Alligator mississippiensis: one gene and its partner. Each later gene encodes a partner of the first gene's protein in a complex. Links are inferred from orthologs where the notes say so. Each region holds a gene or a part of one and is shown on either strand. Other genes may lie near its edges. The genes, in order: MAPK8IP1 and MAPK10.

Region 1 (9,594 bases):
TGTGTATCATAACTGTGAAACTAAAATGCTACAATCTGCCAAGTAGCTGGCTGGATTTCCATTTCAGCACTGCGGAGAGCAGCACACATTCTGTTGTACTAATTTAGCAAGAGAGCCAGCAAGTGAATGCAGAAGGTATAATGCTCATGGACTAGTTTGAGGATGAGTGCAGGGCTATAGCAACAAAGAATGACTTTGGGTTCCAGTCACAAGTATTATTTGGAGACCATTTTTAAAAGTATTTATCACTCTAGTTCAGGGGTTCAACTGTCCCAGATGCCTGAAGGTGATATGGTACACGGAGTTGTCTTTTAATCTCTAAAAGCATGCAGGGCTTCTCTTGTCAAGAGATGAAGTGGGAACTTCATGATTTTATTGAGAAGGGATAAATCTCATCTACTGAGAACATGCTTAATCTGTGGCTTGAGTTCCAACAATGAGAAGCATGTAGTGCCTCCACTCATCTGTGCACAGGCACATCCCAGGTAAACTAGAGCATGTATCCCATGTAGCTTGATCAATTATGTTTTAGTTGAACAATCTCATATGGGACAGGCTGAAGAAGAGAAGATTGAGGGGGGATTTGATAGCAGCCTTTAACTATCTGAAGGGTGATTACAATGAGGATGGAGCTAGACTGTTCTCAGTGGTGGCAGATGGCAGAACAAGGAGCAAGGGTCTCAAGCTGCAGTAAGGGAAGCTTAGGCTGGATATTAGGAAAAACTCTCTCACTAGAAGGATGGTGAAGCACTGGAACAGCAGTGGTGGAATCTCCATTCTTGGGGGTTTTTAAGGCCCAGCTCAACAAAGCCTTGGCTGGGATGATCTAGTTGGGGATGGTCCTACTTTGAGCAGGAGGTTGGAGTAGATGATCTCCTGAGGTCCCTTCCAACCAATGTTACCTCTAAAGTGTAATGATCCATGAGCACACAGCTTTGGTCTGTGAGCGCACCACTTCAGTCAGTTCCTGTTAACAGTGTAACAAACATGACCACTTGAATAGTAATTGAGTTCTGCTTAAACACTCTTACGTATTGTTTGGATAAGCCTGGTGGGGCTCTGCAATGTGCCTCAAGGACAGCAGCAAGGTATTGTGTTTACAGGGTATTATATATTCATGAACAGATTTAAGAGTTAAAATTGTCAGTTGTCACAAACAGCTGGAGGGTTAGGGTCTGATTCCCCTCACACAAAATCAGATACCAGCATAACCTCAGTACCTGAGTGTGTATTGATGAAGAAACTCCTACAAGTACTTGCATATTAACTTAAATAGCTTCACCCAAACATTGTGCCAAAGAAAAGTAAAATAAAGAAAGCAGTAAAAGAGTTCTGTGCACCACTAAAAGTCATGTGAACTGCTTACATGCCATGGTTTCCTTCTATGGTGTTTATAGGCCCATATTTTCTTTTCATCTATGCCTTTGCAAATCAGCAGTGACTTAATTGAAAAATAGAAACTTACAGTGGTGTAGAACTTGTATGAGAGGGAAATCACATTCAGGGCCAGCCAACAATCTTTGGGGACCTGCTACAGGATGTAGTTCTGGGGCCTCCTGATCCCTCGCTGGGGCCGGGAACTCCTCCCGGCGCTCAGCCGGTAATTAAATGAATGTCTCAACACACTGGATGCAGCGGAAGAGGTGGCATATTCCGACCACAACAAGGTAGAAAAAACAGACCAGTTCCCTGGTGCCACGAGGAGGCACTCTGCCCCCTCCCCCCCTCGCCTCGGGGAGGAGCCACTGTCTGAGGCATGAGGAGCTTACCTCTGGTAAACGTCCTGTGCCACCAGGCTCCTGATGCCTCTGCTGTACTCTGTGCCCAGGTCCTCTCCGGGTGGGTACGCAGCAAGATTTTAAATTGTTTGCAGCCGTGCATGTGCACACCTTGGAAGGAACCTTGCTTCCAACCCTAATTTTCTTTGATAATGTATACAAGTATTTATATTGCATGTAGTCTTGAGTCAGTGCATATCACCCATTCCTATTGTAATCTCAGCTGTAGACCAAACGGATCCAAAATATTAACCTAGCCCTTTATTGGAAATAGGTAAAGGACCACTCTAAACAGGGAGTTTTAAGAGAAAGTCTTTAAAGGTTCTGAGTTCCTGTGGAAGCCAATGTAGACATAAGCACTTGACTGCTGATAGAGCAACAGGGCCCAGAACTGGTGGCAGTTACCTTGAAAAAGAAAAGTCTAATTTCCTAAGTATTGTAGCCTCTCCATGTAAAATAGGATCCAAACTTCTACTTGACTTAACTGTGCTAATATAAGACAAGGTAGATTTGTGCCTTATAAACTAAGCTAGATATATATAGCTTAGTATATCAAGGTGCAAATCTACCCTGCCTGTATATATAATTGGCCAGATATAAATATGTAACGCAAGCTTTCATGGGCCTGAGCTCATTTTAATCAGATGCTGTGAAAGGATGTGCATGAAGCTTTGTATAAGGAAGAAAAACTGGACTACAAAAGCAGAAGAGGGAAGAGCAGTGCTGGAAGAGGCAAATGTGCAGATAGTAAACCCATGGAAACAAAGGAATTGCAAAATGTAATACAGGTAACAGGTTAAGAATGCACAGTTCCTTTTTAAACTATGCTTAAGCAATCTAGTGTGGGGGTGACTTCCTGTTCTGCAGTTTCCCAGTCAAATAGTTTTTAAAAGTTTGCTCTCTGAGACCAGCCACCCTCAGGTGAATGATGGAGTGTCCAGGGAGACTCACGTATTCTGCCATAAGCAGGCTTATGAAAATTGCATTGCTTCATGGTGAGTTCCCAGCTTGTTTCATCCCACTAGAGCTCGCCCACTAGTGGGCATATTTAGCCAACATGTAATTTAGCCTCCATGAACAGCTACTGATGCATATCCATGCCCAAACCTAGATCCCCCAATAGGTGGTGACCTAAGGAAATGTGCTCTTCTATGTACATGGGGCAAAATATGGGATACCACTATACCCAGACTACTTATAGAAATATAAAAACAGACATTGTGGTGGCCCAGCATAAGCAAAGGCACAGGCAGCTATGGCTGGCAGTGCTTCACTTGTTAAAGTCCAGCCTGTGTGGCCTAGGTTCCAAGGACAGCTTCAAAACAAAGGGATCACCTGATCTGATACCTAAATTGGTAGGGTTGGGTCAATGAACCATTGTTCCCAAGAGAACTCAAGCATGGTCACACTGATAGACCTGCTTAAACGAAGGATGGAAGCCCTACTTGTTCCCAACAGTGGAGCCCATAGCCAAGCTCTACTACTGTTGAATCACACTTCCATGAACTAGGGTTTGCCCCTCAAGGTCAGGGGCAATGCATAGGGGGTGCACGCAGGTGCATGTGCACCCCCTGAGTGTGGCAGCACACCCCCTACAGAAAGGCTGCCGGCAGCATCTGTGGGTGGTTGCTGACCCCTGGTCAGCACCCCCTATGCGTGCCCCCCCCCCCCTCCCCTGCTGCCACCAGCACTGGGGGTGTCTACGGGAGCCCTCACTTACCACTGCCCTGCTTCTGCCACAATGCTTCTGTTGCCGCCATGCCCCCCCCCCCCCCCCCCCCCAGCCGCTGGGGGCACACATCGTTCATGCTCAAAGTGGTATTTGTTTGAGGCTCACTTCTCTAACTGGAAGGAGGTGCTCTGGAGAGAGAAAACAATACAGGTTTCCTTTACTTTATGCTGTACATGTGTTCCTGGAAGATGGCGCATAATTCAAATTCACATAAAGGGAGCCCACTTTACAATGTAACAAATAGGCATATGTTCCAAGACCTTGACTGTACTGACCCCCAGACCCATTTCTACCACTTTTCCAAGACAATTGTGGTATTCACCAACAGCAAACAGTACATGCAAGCACAGGGTGGTGGTGAATGTTACCATAATGGGGATGGCAAATACAGAAACACTTATCTCAGACAAGGAGTGAGGAGCACAGATCCACACAAGAGATTATATTTTGGTGCACATCACTCCCACAATGCACCGCACAAAGCAGCTGACTTCGGGCTTCCACCACACCAATCGCATAAGAGTGAAGTTACCTCTCACATAACAATTTTTTTGGTATAAAAAGGGGTCATTGCATAAGAGCGAATTTGCACATACAGAACCCACATAAAGTGAAAAAAACCTGTATCTCCATACACTAGAGGCACAAGGGTCTTGAAGAAACCTGTTGCAGAAGATGCTGGTGCCTGGGATCCGGCCTAGATGGACGGGGCTTGGTCCCAAGCAGCAGTGAATGGTTTCTCTTTGAAACTGGTCTGACAGCTGGACTCTGCCCCTCCCAGCTCTGTTGCCTCGACTGGGAAGGAGGAACGAATGCGGAGCTGGACGGCGGGGCTTGCACTCTACCCTAGGAATTAAATGGCCTTATGAAAAGCTGGGCTGCTGCTGCCAGGGGGGCTGCTTCCTGGGGGGGGACTGAACTGGTGACTTGAATGCCCTGCAGCTGGCAGAGACCCAGCTGGGCCCCTTCCCCCAGCCAGCCCTGGGCTGCAGCCTTCTGCGGGGGCCCCCCTTGGTTGCTTGGCCCATGATCTGCACCAGCTGCCCAGGCCCCTTCAGTTCCCCCAGCCCCTCTCAGCAGGGCCTCCCTGGTGGGCACCTTGGGGTGGGATCTCCAAACAAGGAAATGCCCGGCTGGCGGGCAAGGAGCTCTCCTGGGGGCACCCAGTGGTGCCTTGGGCATTAGGGCCCCTCAGCCGCCGCTCCCCCGCCCCTTCACCTGCTGCAGCTTCCTCCCCACCCCCCCAGCGGGGCGGGGCCGCTGCATCCAGCTGTGGGGGCCGCTGGCTTGCAGCTGGCGCCCTCAGGGGCGTCCTCGGCGCCGGCTTCCAGCTGCGCCCCCACCCCTGCACCCCCACCCCAGTGGATCCGTGCCCGGCTGCCGGGCTCCCCCTCCTCTCCCCTCCCTGCCTGCCAGCATCAGCAGCATCCATCTCCCTCCCTGCTCCGCCCGCATGGAGAGGGAGAATGGCGGAGAGAGAGAAAGGAGCCACGTCCCCCGCCGGATCGTCTCCCTTCCTGGGGCTGCACCTCGCCTCGCCTCCCAATTTCAGGTACCGGAGCCGCCTCCCTGCCCGGAGCCCCGGGTCTGGCCCCGGAGGGAGATGGGGGAAGGGAGATCTCTTTGATCCGCTCTGCTCCCCCTACATCCCTCCGCCTCCCGCAGAGCTGGGCTGGGCACGGGGTGAAGCCCAGCTCCCTTCTCCCCCACCCCCTACTCCTGCCCGGGGAAGAGCTAGCTGGGGCTGGTCCTGCTCTGAGCAGGGGGTTTGGTTGGGTGACCTCCTGCAGTCCCTTCTGCCCTCATTTTCTACCATGCTAAGATGCCAGCAGGTGTTTGCACCCCCTGCCCCCTCGCTCTTTACTTCTCTCCCAGGCTGTGCCCCTGCCGGGGCAAGGGGGCAGGCCGCGGGATGCCTCCCCAGGAGACATGCGGAGGCTGCCCCACTGAGGGGGTGGGGGCAGGGGAGAACAATGCCCACCTGGCGCTGGCAGGGGTGTGGTCAACCCTCCCAGTAGGATCAGGGCATTAATGACCCCTCTCCCTCAACCTAGGGTCTCCCCAGCGGGAGCTGCCTGCCCTGGAACAGGTGGTGTCTGTCAAACCATTCTCTGTTATCTAGGGAGGCAAGAGGAGGAGGGGGACAGGTGTCTGGAGAGCCAGAGATGGGCTTTGATCACTCTGAGCAGCACCTTGCCACAGGAGGGTTGGCATTTAGCTATAGGGTCAGACCCCCCCCCCCCCCATGGGATTTCTCCTACCAGCTTTGTGGAAGGAGGGGGAACATGGAAGAGCTCTCTCCTGGGTGGGGCTGAGCAACTCTCAGCATCCCACAGGTGCACATGTGTGCACACACTCATGCACAGCCTTCCTCACCCCAGGCCCTCTCCCTCAAAATCTACACCTAGGGCTGCCCCCAGATACCCCATGCATGCACCCTTTCTATGCCTACTTCCATATCCTCACACCTCCCTCACCCATCATGTCCACATCACCACAGCTGCCTTACCTATCTCACCTCCCTGTACATCTCCTATCCCCCCACAAGAAAACCTTGAACTCCCCATACCTCCTTCAGCCTCCTCTTACTTCCAACCCCAGCCTCCATATCCCCATACATGAGAAGCCTTCCTCCATACTCCCACTTCCTTCTCTGAGAAGCCTTCCTCCCCATAAAAATACAGCCACCCACTCATCTTCCAGAATCACCTCCAGAATGCATCCTCTCAGGCAAACCCCCATCTCCCAAACCCTGTATATGATCTCCCAGAGGCAGAGCCCTGCCCTAGGAGACCCGAAACAAACCCTGGAGGATGCAACAGATTTACAATCGATCCTCTCAGAAACATCCCATCGATTTGGATCACGGAGCTTTGGAATCTGAATGCCGTGGGACTATTCACAATGAGGCCTGCCAGCCACAGGCAGAGGCAAGAGCAGAGGGGAACTGATGTGCCTCTAGTTGCCTAGATGAGAGATGGGCACAAGTGACAGTATGAGGGTCAGGATGCTGCCTGGTGACCCTCTCAAAGCAGGGTTAGGCATGATTTGCATATTAGGAATGGGGCCATGGCCTCACTCTTTGTCATATAATGACTGTGTCCTTATTTTTAACTGTGGTTTCAGGGTCTGGATGTTATTTGTCTCCTAAAATTCTGAGCAATCATTGAGTGTTGGGAATTGTGGGGCTGTGTGACTGAAACTGCTTCAGGTCTGGAGGGAAGGCAAGTTCTGTACTGAGATTCCAGGCAGGGTAAAGATAGGTGCCCCACATTTGCAGCTACAGGTAAATGTGTTATATTTGATTCTATAGGAGTCCAGGGTCTGAGGTTTGGGGCAGGAGATAATCTGGCATCCTCTTTTTTGAGAGAAAATTGGTATGTGGTCTGGGCTTTGTGGGGCTGCCTCTAGGGGACTTGCTCCTCTGCAGACTGTCTGTCTGTTGTTAGGTTCTGGAGGCTCCTGTGCTGAATAGCCTTGGGGAGTCAGCAGACAGCAGCCTCCTCGCTGCCTTTCAGTTCCAGCACTGCCTGTTTGATTTGTTTGAAGCTATTGCAACATGGCTGGATAAACCCTGCAAATTAAGCAATTAAAGCTGCCTCTGGAAATGTCCACTATGGAGAAACGGCTCGGCCACAGAGCTGGGTAATATGAGCCCAGCAGCAGAGCTCAGTTCAGCCTGGTCCCGTGACAGTCTTGGGCTTGCTGTGTGCTGCTGTCCTAGATACAGCATTTGTCTCCTGGGCTCTTTCTTCTCAAATGTAAACAGCAACACCCAGGGAAGGATGAGCAAGGTGCCAGCACCTTCTGTTGTCCAGATCCTTCGAAATGGAGTCCAAATTCTGACATCCTGAGCTCAGAAAAAGGCTTTACTGATAAAAGGAGCTGGGAATGGTTATGCCTTGTGAAGAGAGGTGTCCCAGTTCTGAAATGTATTTAGGAGAGTATGGGGGGGCTTTACAGTTAAGATGAAACATTCCTAAGTTTGGGGTTGTGTTTTTGAGATTGAAGAAACAATTCTGGGGTTTCTGAGCTTTGGGAAGAATTTTGAGATCTCAAATAATATTTAGTAGTCAGAGTGGCCCCCTGTCTCCCCCCCCATTTTGTTACAAATTACGTTATCTGACAGGTGCCAGCACTAAGGGACCCTGAGAGCTGCATGTAAGGAGAGAGTCCGAATGATAGCTGCCTTTTGATTCATCTAGCCTTGCTGTAGCCAACTCAGCTCCAGCACCTGTGAGAAGAAATCTCTCTTTTAGGGTTCCCATTGTAGAGAGGGCAGCACTGATTTCAGTGAGAGATAAAGAGTCAGGCCAAGGTATGAAATGAAATGCTGTGTGAACCGTGGGAGCATATTAGTGTTGCGCTTCTAGCAGAAGGTGAATCCAGTGCCACTGCTGTGCCCACTTTTGAATAGATTCCCACCAGTGTTTCTGTAGGTGAAAGGTACCTGGTGCCCCGCTTAGATCTAGAAGGGAGCCAGTTCTTCCAGATGACCTCAAATGGACAAGTTGGGAAGAAGGGGTCAGAGGTTCTGGTAAGGTATCACCTAATATGATGATCTGGCATCACCTGTGAGGGGACTGAGGAGCAAAGGACTGTGGTCTAAGCCCCTTATGTAAAGAGGCCCTTGGGTGGGGAGGTCATCTTCACTATGCGTCTTTGAGGGGAATTCTACAAGTCAGAGATGGAAAAGGCACCATAGGTCCCATTCACTTTTCCATTTGTCTCATGGGCCTGAGGCAGGATTGGTCCCTTCAATCTATTTCCTGTGGATTTGTCCAGTCAACTTTTTCTGGGAGACAGTCTCCAGATGATGCCAACTACCAGTGTCTTTTTCTGGGAGACAATTTCACAGCCTCCCACACAGCCTGCCCGGAAGCTTTTCTTGAGTTTAGACTAAATTTACCTTGCATCATTCCAGCCTATTATTAATTCTACCTCTTGGAAACAATGGAAAACTGCAGGCTTGGGTCTCCCAGAAAGGTGGATGGTCTTAAAGGGAAGGCTCCTCTCCCCTTTCTCACCCAAAGTGAATGCAATGAGGACATCAGCTTAAGCTTCTTTGGGTATAAACCAGCATCACTAAATGAAGTAGATCAGCTGTGCCAGGATATATCTCAGCATGAATCCCTGGGCATGCCTCTGCAACAGGGGGAAATCTGGGGCTTTCCCATTCTGCAGAGATGTTTCTCAAGTCAGATTCCCTGCATGCAAATCTCTGCAAACAGGGAAACCCTGGGTTTCATGGATAGGAGAGGCATGCCCCATGTCAGGGCCTGGCAGAACAATATGTGACGAGGGAGTGCCCTGCTGGGGGATTTCCAGGGTCCACCTGTGCAAATGGGGGAAACCAGGCAGGCACTCCTGGGACTCTAGGGACCCAACCCTATATGCCCTGGGAATGGGCATCTGTCATCTGCCACCACTGAGAACAGTCTAGCTCCATCCTCTTTTGAATGCCCCTTCAGGTAATTGAAGGCTATAATATCCCCTCAGTCTTCTCTTCTCCAGACTAAATAAGTCCAGTTCCCTCAGCCTCTCCTCAGAAATCAAGTCCCCCAGCCCCCTCATCATTTTTGTTGCCCTCTGCTGAACTCTCTCCAATTTGTCCACGCCATTTCTGTAGTTTGGGACCCAAAACTGAACACAGTACTCCAGATGTGGCCTCACCAGTGCTGAATAGAGGGGAATGATCACTTCCTTTGACCTACTGGCAACACACATACTAATGCAGCCCAGTATGCCATTAGCCTTTTTGGCAACAAGGACACACTGTTGGCTCATATTCAGCTTATTGTCCACCATAACCCCAAGTCCTTTTCTGCAGAGCTGCTGCCCAGTCAGTCAGCCCCCAGGCTGTACTGGTGCATGAGATTATTCCATCCTAAGTGCAGGACTTTTCACTTGTCCTTATTGAACCTCATGAGATATCTTAGTCCAATCCTCCAATTTGTCCAGCGCTCTAAATCCTAGCCCTACCCTCCAGTAAATCTACTACTCCCCCCAGCTTGGTGTCATCTGCAAACTTGCTGAGGGGACACACTATGCCATCTTCCAGGTTGTTGATGAAGATATTATACA
Region 2 (9,975 bases), about 77 Mb from region 1:
TATTCCATACATAACACGCAGGGACTGTCTGACTTAGAAGACCCTGAAGCACGTACTGGGGCTAAAGATTTTTTGTTTGTCCTTGCTGTGTGCATGCCCATGGTATCTTGGATACTGAATGCACTGAGTACTCTCACAGGTACTCAGTGGGTGTCTACATGTTCATTAATGTGCAGTAGTTAATGTGCATTTAGTTTAGCACTTACTTAATGAAGTATTAACTAAATGAGCAGTAACTTGTGCTGCTGCACAGTAGCACTGGTGCAGTTTGTTTGTTTTTTGTGACACTTACCATGCAGTAGCCTAATAACACTATTCAGTAGTGCATTAGGATAGTTTTTGACTGGCATGCTACATGCAGTGTTATTAGGCTACTGCGCAGTAAGTGTCTTGTGTAGATGCACCCAGTGTCTCTTCAGATGAACCCCACTTTCTTCAGGGCAGAGCCATGCTGAGAAGAAAAGCTCTTTTTCAGCTACACTGTTGCATTATTTCTGAGCTCTCTCCTCTGGGTCTTCTAATGGTGTAGTTCAGTGAGGTCCCAGGTCCTCTCCACTCTGATAGGAGATAGTGAGAGCTGAGGACATTCAGTACTTCACAGAATTGGGTCTTAAATTCTTTTTATAAACAGCTGCCAGACACATTACATTTTCTTGTGATTTGGAAATTATGCATCACTATGAAGAATATATAGAGGGAAAAGGAAACAAACAGCTGCACATTTGTGTAGTAAGGCACTTTCTTTTCTGGAAAAAAGCAAGGAAATAAAAATCACAAAGATGCCTTTGAGAGAGAGAGAGAGAGAGAGAGATTTTTAAATGAATGCTCACTCCTCTCCTTTTCTATGTAAGCACACAGGATTCATATATAACCAACCACCTTAAGAAATATGTTCTAACCTGCACCGTAGCAGGAAATATGGAGTAAATAATTAAGGCTGCCACCACAAAAATCATACCACAGCAGGAAAGGTATAAAGAATCCTCCTGGAAGAAAAACCATTAAATCACACAGTGAGAAATTAGGAAAAAAAAAAAAAACTGAAAGCAAGTCTTCATAAATAGTGACATAGGAAAGTAAAAACCACTTGGAAAATTAAAGGCCTGAGTCTTGAAGAGAGGGAGCATTTCAACATGTCTGTCAACTGGTAGCGATTTTGAAACTAAGTTCTCCCCTGATATTGCTTGCTGACATTTTTTTAACAAATGTCATCACAGAATTTATGTAGCATGCACATTGATCAACAACTTTACTTTATCATGTCACTTTGGCATATATTGCTGACTATTTGTGTAAATGAATACTAGCAACTTTCCATCATGCAGGGAACCAGGGGCATTGTATTGATAAAAGGAAAAGTAAGTGACATAATTATTAAAGTAATGCTTCACTCATACCATTTACTTGTGGTTTTATTTATTTAGCTCTAATGCAGGGCCTGGCTCTGCCATCTTTGCTTAAGCTGAGCTGCATTCTGCTAATAGTCTAGTTCAGGGGTAGCCAACCAACAGCACATGTGTCCCAAGTGGTGCGGGCAACCTTTTTTTTTTGTTTGGCATGTGGAAGACTGGGAAAAGGACATTCAGCACAATGGCATATATGACAGGGAGCAGAAAGCAGAGCACCAGATCAGGCAGGCAAAGGGGATCAGAGTGGCACTCAGGGAGGCTGCAAGGCAAATTTGTGGCACCCCTGCCAAAAAAGGTTGGTCCATTTGGTCCAGTTAAGTCAGTTTAGGTCCTTGCAGAACAAGGACTGTTCAGCATTAAGTGAAAACAGCAGAACAAAGCCCACAGGAAAAATGTTGTAGATTCAATAATAGTACTAGTTTAAAATATCAGATGTGTTTTACTATGGAAGCAAATTAAGTGTCAGAACATCCATATCTAGAATACTGGTGTTCTAGCTCCTTTTTTACATTTTCCTGTTTTCTCTTTCTTTCATTCTTCTTTTTTATAAGTTATTCTTTCCTCTTATTGTAGCTTCCCTGAGCCTTTGTTGGGAAGAGAAGCATATAAATTGAATGAATGAAGAAACAAATAAATAAATATGGACTATCCTTTCCCATATGGATGTCTGCATATATACTTGCCCTGATTTTAGTTACACAAAGAATTGGCACCTTTAAACATGGAAGAACAGCACTGCCATTCCTCATTATGCTTATATAAGCTTCACAGTGTTAGGTGTTTTTTGAAAACTCCAGACATGAGAATCAACAGCTCTAGTTCCTGCATGAAAATCTATTTTTGTTTAAAAAAAAAAAAAAAAAAGTGGGGAGAGGAAGCTCTAGTCCTCCTCCTCCAAGATTGTGGAGAAAAGCTTGAAAACATGAAGCAAGTGTACCCTAAAGCCTCGTACATCAGAGGGCAGTTAAAAAAGCCCCCCACCAATACATTACTACTTTTTTTTTAATTTTTTGTTTTTAACTCAATATCATGATATTTGGAGGCCTTGCTCATGACTTTTATATGCAGGGAATTAGTAAGATTGAAAACATTCCTTAGTGCAATTATAAACGTTAGCTATTACTGACTTATCTGAAAACAGTCCTTGCCAAAAGGTGACTGCCTTAGAGTCTCAGCTTTAGGAAACAATATTGTATTCTATAAATCTAAAAGCATAATAATATATAATCTCCCATTATGGTAGATACTGCTAGTTAGGGTTATGCAAAGCTTCGGTCCCTGATTTGATTTGGCCTGATTTGGTGGCCGAATCTCTGAATCTGAATTGAATCCGGAGACCCTTTTAATCTCTCCGAATCGAACTGGAACCCTCCAAATCAATTCGGAAAGATTCAGCAATTTGGACATAGACACAGTTTTAAATGTATTTTTTCCACATATCACAAGGAACCAGGCGGCTTGTGAATGCTGGGGTAGATGGAGTGCGCTTGGCAGCAGACCCAGAAGTGGACCAGAAGCACTTCTGGGTCACCAGGGAGTGTGCTGGGGGCTCCCCCACACCCTCCCCAGCTCAGTGACTGGTGCCTCCTGGGTCTGGGGGGGCACCTGGAGTCCCCTCGCAGCCAATCGCAGAGCCAGAAAGGCATGGAGGGACCCCACAGCATGCTCCCCAGCGGACCTGGTTCACCGCCGAGCACATGGAGACTGCCGCCCCCACCCCGGCGCGCTCCTGTGGGACACTTCATCTGCCCTAGCATTGCAGCGTTCACAAGCTGCACCTGGTACCTTGAGGTATGTAGAAAAAACATCTAAAGCTGTGTCTATGGCTGAATTGCCTATTCTCTGAATCAGCATCTGAATCTTCAGATTCAGAATTGGCCGAATCGAATCAGGACAGTGGTCCAAATCGAGAAATTGAATTACAGTCCTCAATTTTGGGCTGAATCTGAATTGAATATGGCCCATTTCACCACCCTTACTGCTAGTGTTTTGGTGGTGGAACAGGTTTGGCAGCATCATTAATTTAGGGTAATTGCTGGATTTAAATGTTCAGGTCTAAATACAAAACAATGTGGAATCCACTTAGTTTGGAACTTGGAATAATAGAAAGTTAGGGTTGGAAGGGACCCCAGGAGGTCATCTAGTCTAACCACCTGCTCAGAGCAGGACCATCTGCAACTAGATCATTCCAGCCAAAGCTTTGTGTAATCGGGTTTTGAAAACCTCTAAGGATGGAGCTTCCACCACCTCTCTAGGTAACCTGTTCCAGTATCTTACTACCCTCCCAGTGAGAAAATTCTTAATATCTAACCTAAACTTCCCTTGCTGAAATTAGAGAAGTTGCTCAGCCCATAAACAAAAATTGGAAAGATTCATGAGCTATGGTGAGGTGTTGGGTCAGGACCTTGGTATGTCAGTGCCTCAGTAAGAGGCATGGTTGATGCTCACATAGACATTTCGGAGCTGTCTTTTATTTAGCTACTGTATCTCATGACAGATGACACAGCATGGGTTTCAGCTGCTGAGCAAGTGCCCAGAGTTTTTGTACAGCCCATGCTGCTATGGTTTTGTAGCTATTGGTACCCAAGCTACATAAAATATAAACTAGCCCCGGCATTTCTACATCAGGCGAATGTGCCTCTGATTCCTGTACAGATGTACATTGGGATTCCCTCTTTTCTTTGTCAGCTGGCAAAAGAGGAGGCAAAGGGGGTTACAGTTTTCATACATATAGCATGTAAAAAATCCCAAACTTTATTAAAAGAATGTCATTTAAGTTTCAAAGGGCATGTCTACATGTCACCCTATGGAAACATAGCACCATGCTATTTCACCATACAATGCACTATGACAACGTTGCGATCACATGGGTCTACATATGATCACCTACTATGTCTCCATAGCAGTGCACTCCCCACTTACAGCGTGCTGCTACGGCCACGTAGTGGGAAAATTGAAGCATGTGCCACCCATATGGCACAGTACCTGCCTGTACGGGTGCCATGCTTTAGTAGTTTTTGAAAGGAAGCACTAAAGCACAGCAATGTTGCCATATAGCGACATGTAGATGTGTCCAGTCTAGCACTCAAGTTTGATAATTTGGCCAACCTTATTTCCACCTTCTTCCTCTCTCCTGCCTTAACTATCCTGTGGATTGAATGAAACAAAGGCCCTGTAAGACCTATATAAGCACATAATTACAGGCTATGTTATGGAAAAATTAATACAGGCAACTGTAAATGTGGCATTGGCTAACTTCTGAATGCTTAAGTATACAGCCTTACCTGCTTAGTTTTATTTTTTGTATGAAATTTCTTATGTTTTATTAAATATGTCCTGCTATTTGTCTTTTGACAATCATCCCATCATGCATCACTAGCATGGCTTGCACCTTGAAAGTGCAGCACAACAACCCAGCATTTTGTTGTTTGAGCTACAGGGCAAACTCTGTCAGCTGGATAACAGAAGAAGGCTCTAGTTTCCAGTATCAGGATGTGGCCATGAGCTAGATGTAAGGGTGTAGAGTTAGTGGGAGCCCATTGTGGCCTGCCCATTGCTCACTATTCCCTAGAGTGATGGATAGGATGCTGGAACCATCTCAAAAAGGAATAGCTTGGAGGGCATGGGTGCATTTCAACCTGGCTGTTTGGACCTTTTATCATAGCAGAAGCAGGTCAAGTGTTTCCAGAGTGGTGTGGCTCATTCACTTGAGGTACATCTAATGTTTTCCTAAAAATACAAAATTCCAAGTGGATCTAAGACAGTAAAAGATCTGTGAACTGTATCCCACCAGTTATAACCAGGCATACCAAAATTCTGGAATTTCATGCATCTCTAATCTTAATATCCTGGCATCAGTACCTTCCTAAGAAGTAGTTTATAAGGATAAGATTAAACAATTCCAAATTTTATAAATTGAGACAGATCAATTAATCTCTCCCTCATCTAAAAAAGCCTAAGGGTAATAATAAGATTTCCAAATCATCTGAGGAAGAACAGTAAATTCACATTTGCTCTACATCTTAATAAAATTAGCTTATTGAATAGCATTATAAATATCAGACAAATGTAGAGATATCACAAATCAGTCACCATATTTTAATAGGTATTAAAAATGCAGCTGTGAAGTCTCACGTTTAAATCAGCTTTTCTTAAGACAGAATTTTATTTCAAAGCCCACTGTCTTAAATGGTTGGTTGTTTCTTTCACATAAATCTGAGAATTTGAGATTACTGAAAAAGTCCTAATTTCTTTCCTTATTGTATATTTCTGGGATTTTTACACATAACTGTCTTAGCCATGGAAAATCATTATTTGATGGCAGACTGTCACAGAGCACTGAGGTGCCTTGCTCCCATAGAGGGGAAAACTGCTAGGGAAGAAGCCCTAGAAGGGAATAAGGAGCCCAGCTGTGGGTTGCCAGGGCAACCAGAGAAGGTCAGCTGACCCTAAGGGGCAGGGCCTGGCTCTTATAAAGCCCAGGAGCTGAGGCCAGAGGCAGTTCCCTGCCAGCAGCCAGGAGCTCTCTAAGCCATGATGCGAGGAGAAGCCTAACTGCAGGTACAGCTAATGGCAGCTCTAAGAGGCTTGAGCAAAGTTGTTATAGACAGGCGGCTTATGTTTAAGTTATAGCCAGGAGGCTCGAGTTTGTGTTGCTGTTTGTTACACTGGTGGTGTGGGTGAGGCTATAAGGGGATGGAGGAGGCCTCATAGAGGACTCACAGTGGAGTGTGAGGACCCCGGCGCCAGCGGGTACAGCACACGGGGTGCATAGACCCCAGCCCGAGAGAGGGACGTTTGAGAAGCCCCAGGGCGGGTGTGGTGAGCCCCTGAGAGGGGGCAGCTTTACTGGGAAGCCCAAGGGTGGGCACGGAAAGCCCCAGGAGGGGGCAGCATTGTAGAAAGGCCCCAGAAAAGAGGGCACAGAGTGAGAGGGGGCCGGAGGGAGCCCTAGCACCAGAGGGAGTGTGCAGTAAAGGAAGGAAGGCCCAGGGAGAACAGTAAGGGGCCAAATAGCAAGAGAACTGAGACAACAGCGATTCCCATCAGCGAGGTGTGGACTGCGGTGTAGGGGAGGAAATGGAGCCACAGATAGCGCCCCCTAGCAGCGGGGCAGTATAAGGGCAGCCTCCCGCTAATTAATAGTAATTAATTAAGATCAAGGCATGGCAGGCAAGTAGGCGGGCGGTTGCCCCAGAGACAGGTGTGTGGGCCACATTAAGGGCGGCCCAGAGCAGATACCTGTCACAGACATGGGGCATGTCTCTACATGCAGGGGCATGAGTTGCCCCTGCACAAATAGCAGTGACACCTTTTTGTGCTTCTGCTTTGTGCCCCTGGGCATGCTCCAGCATGTGCCAAAGTGTCCCGGGGCAGGGATGGGGGGAAGTGTGTGCTTAGGGGAACCTAGGGCAAGCACCTGTGAAGGTTCCAGCAGCTTTACCTGGGATCATGGGGGCCTCCTGGGGCAGCAGTGGTGCCAATCCTGCCTCACAGAGGCAGGTGCTGCTGTGTGCACCATACCACATCACTTTTTTTTTTTGGGGGCAATTTTGTTTGTTTGTTTGTTTGTTTATTTTTTGACACCAGGATCTTTGAGGCACTGTAAACTGCATGTGCATGCTCATCTGGATGCACCCATGGAGTTTAGCTGTGAAATTTGTAAGGAAGTAATGATACAAAATGGTGACAGATGACAGAACAAGGAGCAATGGTCTCAAGTTGCAGTAAGGGAAGTTTAGGTTAGATATTAGGAAGAACCTTCTCACTAGGAGGATAGTAAAACACTAGACTAGGTTACCCAGAGAGGCTGTGGACTCTCCATCCTTGGAGGTTTTTAAAACCTAGCTAGACAAAGCTTTGGCTGGAATGATCTGGTTGCAGATGGTCCTGCTTTGAGCAGGGGGTTGGACTAGATGACCTCCTGAGATCCCTTCCAACCCTAATTTTCTATGAAAATACTTGGATGGTAAATAAGTATTTGATGGTATAATATTCTGCCAAAAAACCCAACCTTCATAGAAAGGATATGTGGCATTGTTGATAAATAGTTTATACAAAAGTATAGTGGTTACAGTGTTTTTATTAGAGATGATGAACATGGGAGAAATCCCCAGATTTGAATGCTTCTTCCCTCCTTCTCTTGCCTTTTCCATGGAAATCTCAAAAATTAATATTTTCCAAGTAGTTCAAATTAAGTATAATATGTGAGGGTTTTTTTTATAACATGCACGTGCGCACACACACAATAAGAAATGCATGTGATTTATAAGATATATTTCTTATCTTGTGTTTGTGTAATATATATTATACACACATGCATATATGAAAAGTTAATATTAAGAGTATAATGGAGAAAAAACAAACAATTTTCAAGTTTTTATTGTCTTGTCTTTACATTCAGGCTCTCTAGCTGATGTTGAGTGCTCTCCTATATTTTGATCTGTGTTCTACTTCTCATTTTATCTTGTATTATTACATATTTTGGTTATCTCTTGCAAGCCATCCTGAAGTGATGCATTTCTTTGCAGATTTTTATTTGTTGTTCTTGAAACTTGTGGAGCTATCTTCCAAGACTAATGAACTGAGGTTGTCTGGGGTCTATTTTTTTTTTTTTAAATCAGCGTGCACTTTCAAAGCTTTGTTTGTATATAATTGTATTAGCAACTAAAATATCTCTATATGTAAGGGTACCTAGAAATGTATTCATAGTGATTCACTTGGTTCTAAAACCAAGAAGTCAGGGTTTTTTAAATAGATAATTAGGATTGGAAGGGACTTCAGGAGGTCATCTAGTCCAACCCCCTGCTCAAACCAGGAGTATCCCCAACTAGATCATCCCAGCCAAGGCTATGTCAAGCCAGGTTTTAAAAATCTCCAAGAATGGAGATTCCACAACTGATCTGGGTAATCTGTTCCATGCTTTACTACCCTCCCAGTGAGAAACATTTTCCTAATATCTAACCTAAACTTCCCTTACTGCATCTTGAGACCATTGCTTCTTGTTCTCTCATCTGCCAGCACCTGAGAACAGTCTAGCTCCATCTTCTTTAGAATCACCCTTCAGGTAGTTTGAAGGTTGATATTAAATCCCACCTCAAACTTCTCCTTTTTAGATTAAATAAGCATAGTGACCTCAGCCTCTTCTCAGAATGGTTAGACTCCAGCCCCCCAACCATTTTTGTTGCCCTCCACTGAACTCTCCAATTAGTCCACATCCTTTCTGTAGGGGAGCAGGGGGGCCAAAACTGGATACAGTACTCCAGATGGTCCTCACCAGTGCTGAATACAGGGGGGGGGGGGGGGGGAGATCACTTCCCTGAATCTACTGGCAATGCTCCTACCAATGCATCCCAGTATGTCATTAGCCTTCTTTGCAACAAGGACACACTTTTGGCTCATATTCAGCTTACTGATCACTGTAACCCCCAGGTCTTTTTCTGCAGAGCTGCTGCCCAGCCAGTTTGTTCACAGTCTGTACCAGTATATGGGATTGTTCAGTCCTAAGTGCAAGACTTTGCACTTGTCCTTATTGAACTTAATGAGATTTCTATTGGTCCAATCCTCCACTTTGTTGAGGTCTCTCTGAATCCTAGCCCTGCTGTCCACGGGATCTACTACTCCCCTTAGCTTGGTATCATCCACAAACTTGCTGAGGGTGCACTCCATCCCGTCTTCCAGACTGATGAAGATATTTAACAAGACAGGACCCAGGAACAACCCCTGGGCCACTCCACTTGATACTGGCCAACAGCTAGACATTGAGCTACTGATTACTACTATCCAAGTCTGACAATCCAGTGAGCTTTCTGTCCACTATACAGTCTATTCATCCAGTCTGTACTTCCGTAGCTTATTTTTGAGAATGTTGTGGGAGACTATCAAAAGCCTTGCTAGAGTCAAGGTATATCACATCCACTGCTCTCCCTGCATCCACAGTGCCAATCATCTCATCATACATGGCAATCAGGTTGGTCAGGCATGACTTGCCCTTGGTAACTGTTCCTAGTCTTCTTCTCAGTGCTCAGCAATGAATGTTTGGGTGTTAAATTTACAATTCCACCTGATGCTGGTAAATATTTCATAACCTATAGCAGTCAAGATGTGTACTGTCCACTAGTGACTGTGGTTAAATGCTATCCACTCAGAGGGTAGGCAGGGTGTTTATGTTGGTGCCATACTATGTGGATGTAGTGCTGTGCAAGTGTAAACCAAGTGGTATGAACTCACATTTGTGATCATATGTGTAGCAATAAAATTAAAACTGCTTGGGAAACCAGTTGCTGCACAGAAAATCCAAGGTTTTGAAGCTAGAGTGAGAAAAGGAATGGGCGTGGCCTATAGTCAAAAAGAAGGAAAGAGGTCAGTGCAAAGAGACAAGGGGCTTGAAGCTGAGGAAGAAAGGGGACAAGCTAAGAGTTTGAAAAAGGAGTAAGAAATGGCAAACCGAGTAGAAGAAAGTGAAGGAAACAATCTAGTTTCACAGGCCTCTAACCTCTTTTTACCCTCTACAAATTCTTAATAACAAAATGAGGAAAACTACTAATCCATGATCAGGAGAAGAGGC

What was found.
Region 2: the proteins of MAPK8IP1 (region 1) and MAPK10 are in contact, whole or in part, in a crystal structure (PDB 3PTG), measured with the Homo sapiens proteins. The link is inferred for Alligator mississippiensis from reciprocal best matches to the Homo sapiens genes MAPK8IP1 and MAPK10. Residues at the interface, in NP_005447.1 of Homo sapiens: Pro158, Lys159, Arg160, Pro161, Thr162, Thr163, Leu164, Asn165, Leu166; in NP_620448.1 of Homo sapiens: Asp150, Ala151, Gln155, Val156, Met159, Leu161, Glu164, Arg165, Tyr168, Leu169, Tyr171, Val197, Lys198, Ser199, Asp200, Cys201, Trp362, Asp364, Glu367.

Annotation. Positions count from the first base shown.
Region 1 is NC_081825.1:226,477,592-226,487,185, forward strand, and holds the start of MAPK8IP1 (C-Jun-amino-terminal kinase-interacting protein 1), read left to right. Parts: upstream 1-4,789; 5' UTR 4,790-4,976; coding exon 4,977-5,062; intron 5,063-9,594. UniProt on the Homo sapiens protein: The JNK-interacting protein (JIP) group of scaffold proteins selectively mediates JNK signaling by aggregating specific components of the MAPK cascade to form a functional JNK signaling module. Required for JNK activation in response to excitotoxic stress.
Region 2 is NC_081825.1:149,718,855-149,728,829, reverse strand, and holds the start of MAPK10 (mitogen-activated protein kinase 10), read left to right. Parts: upstream 1-5,931; 5' UTR 5,932-5,969; intron 5,970-9,975. UniProt on the Homo sapiens protein: Serine/threonine-protein kinase involved in various processes such as neuronal proliferation, differentiation, migration and programmed cell death.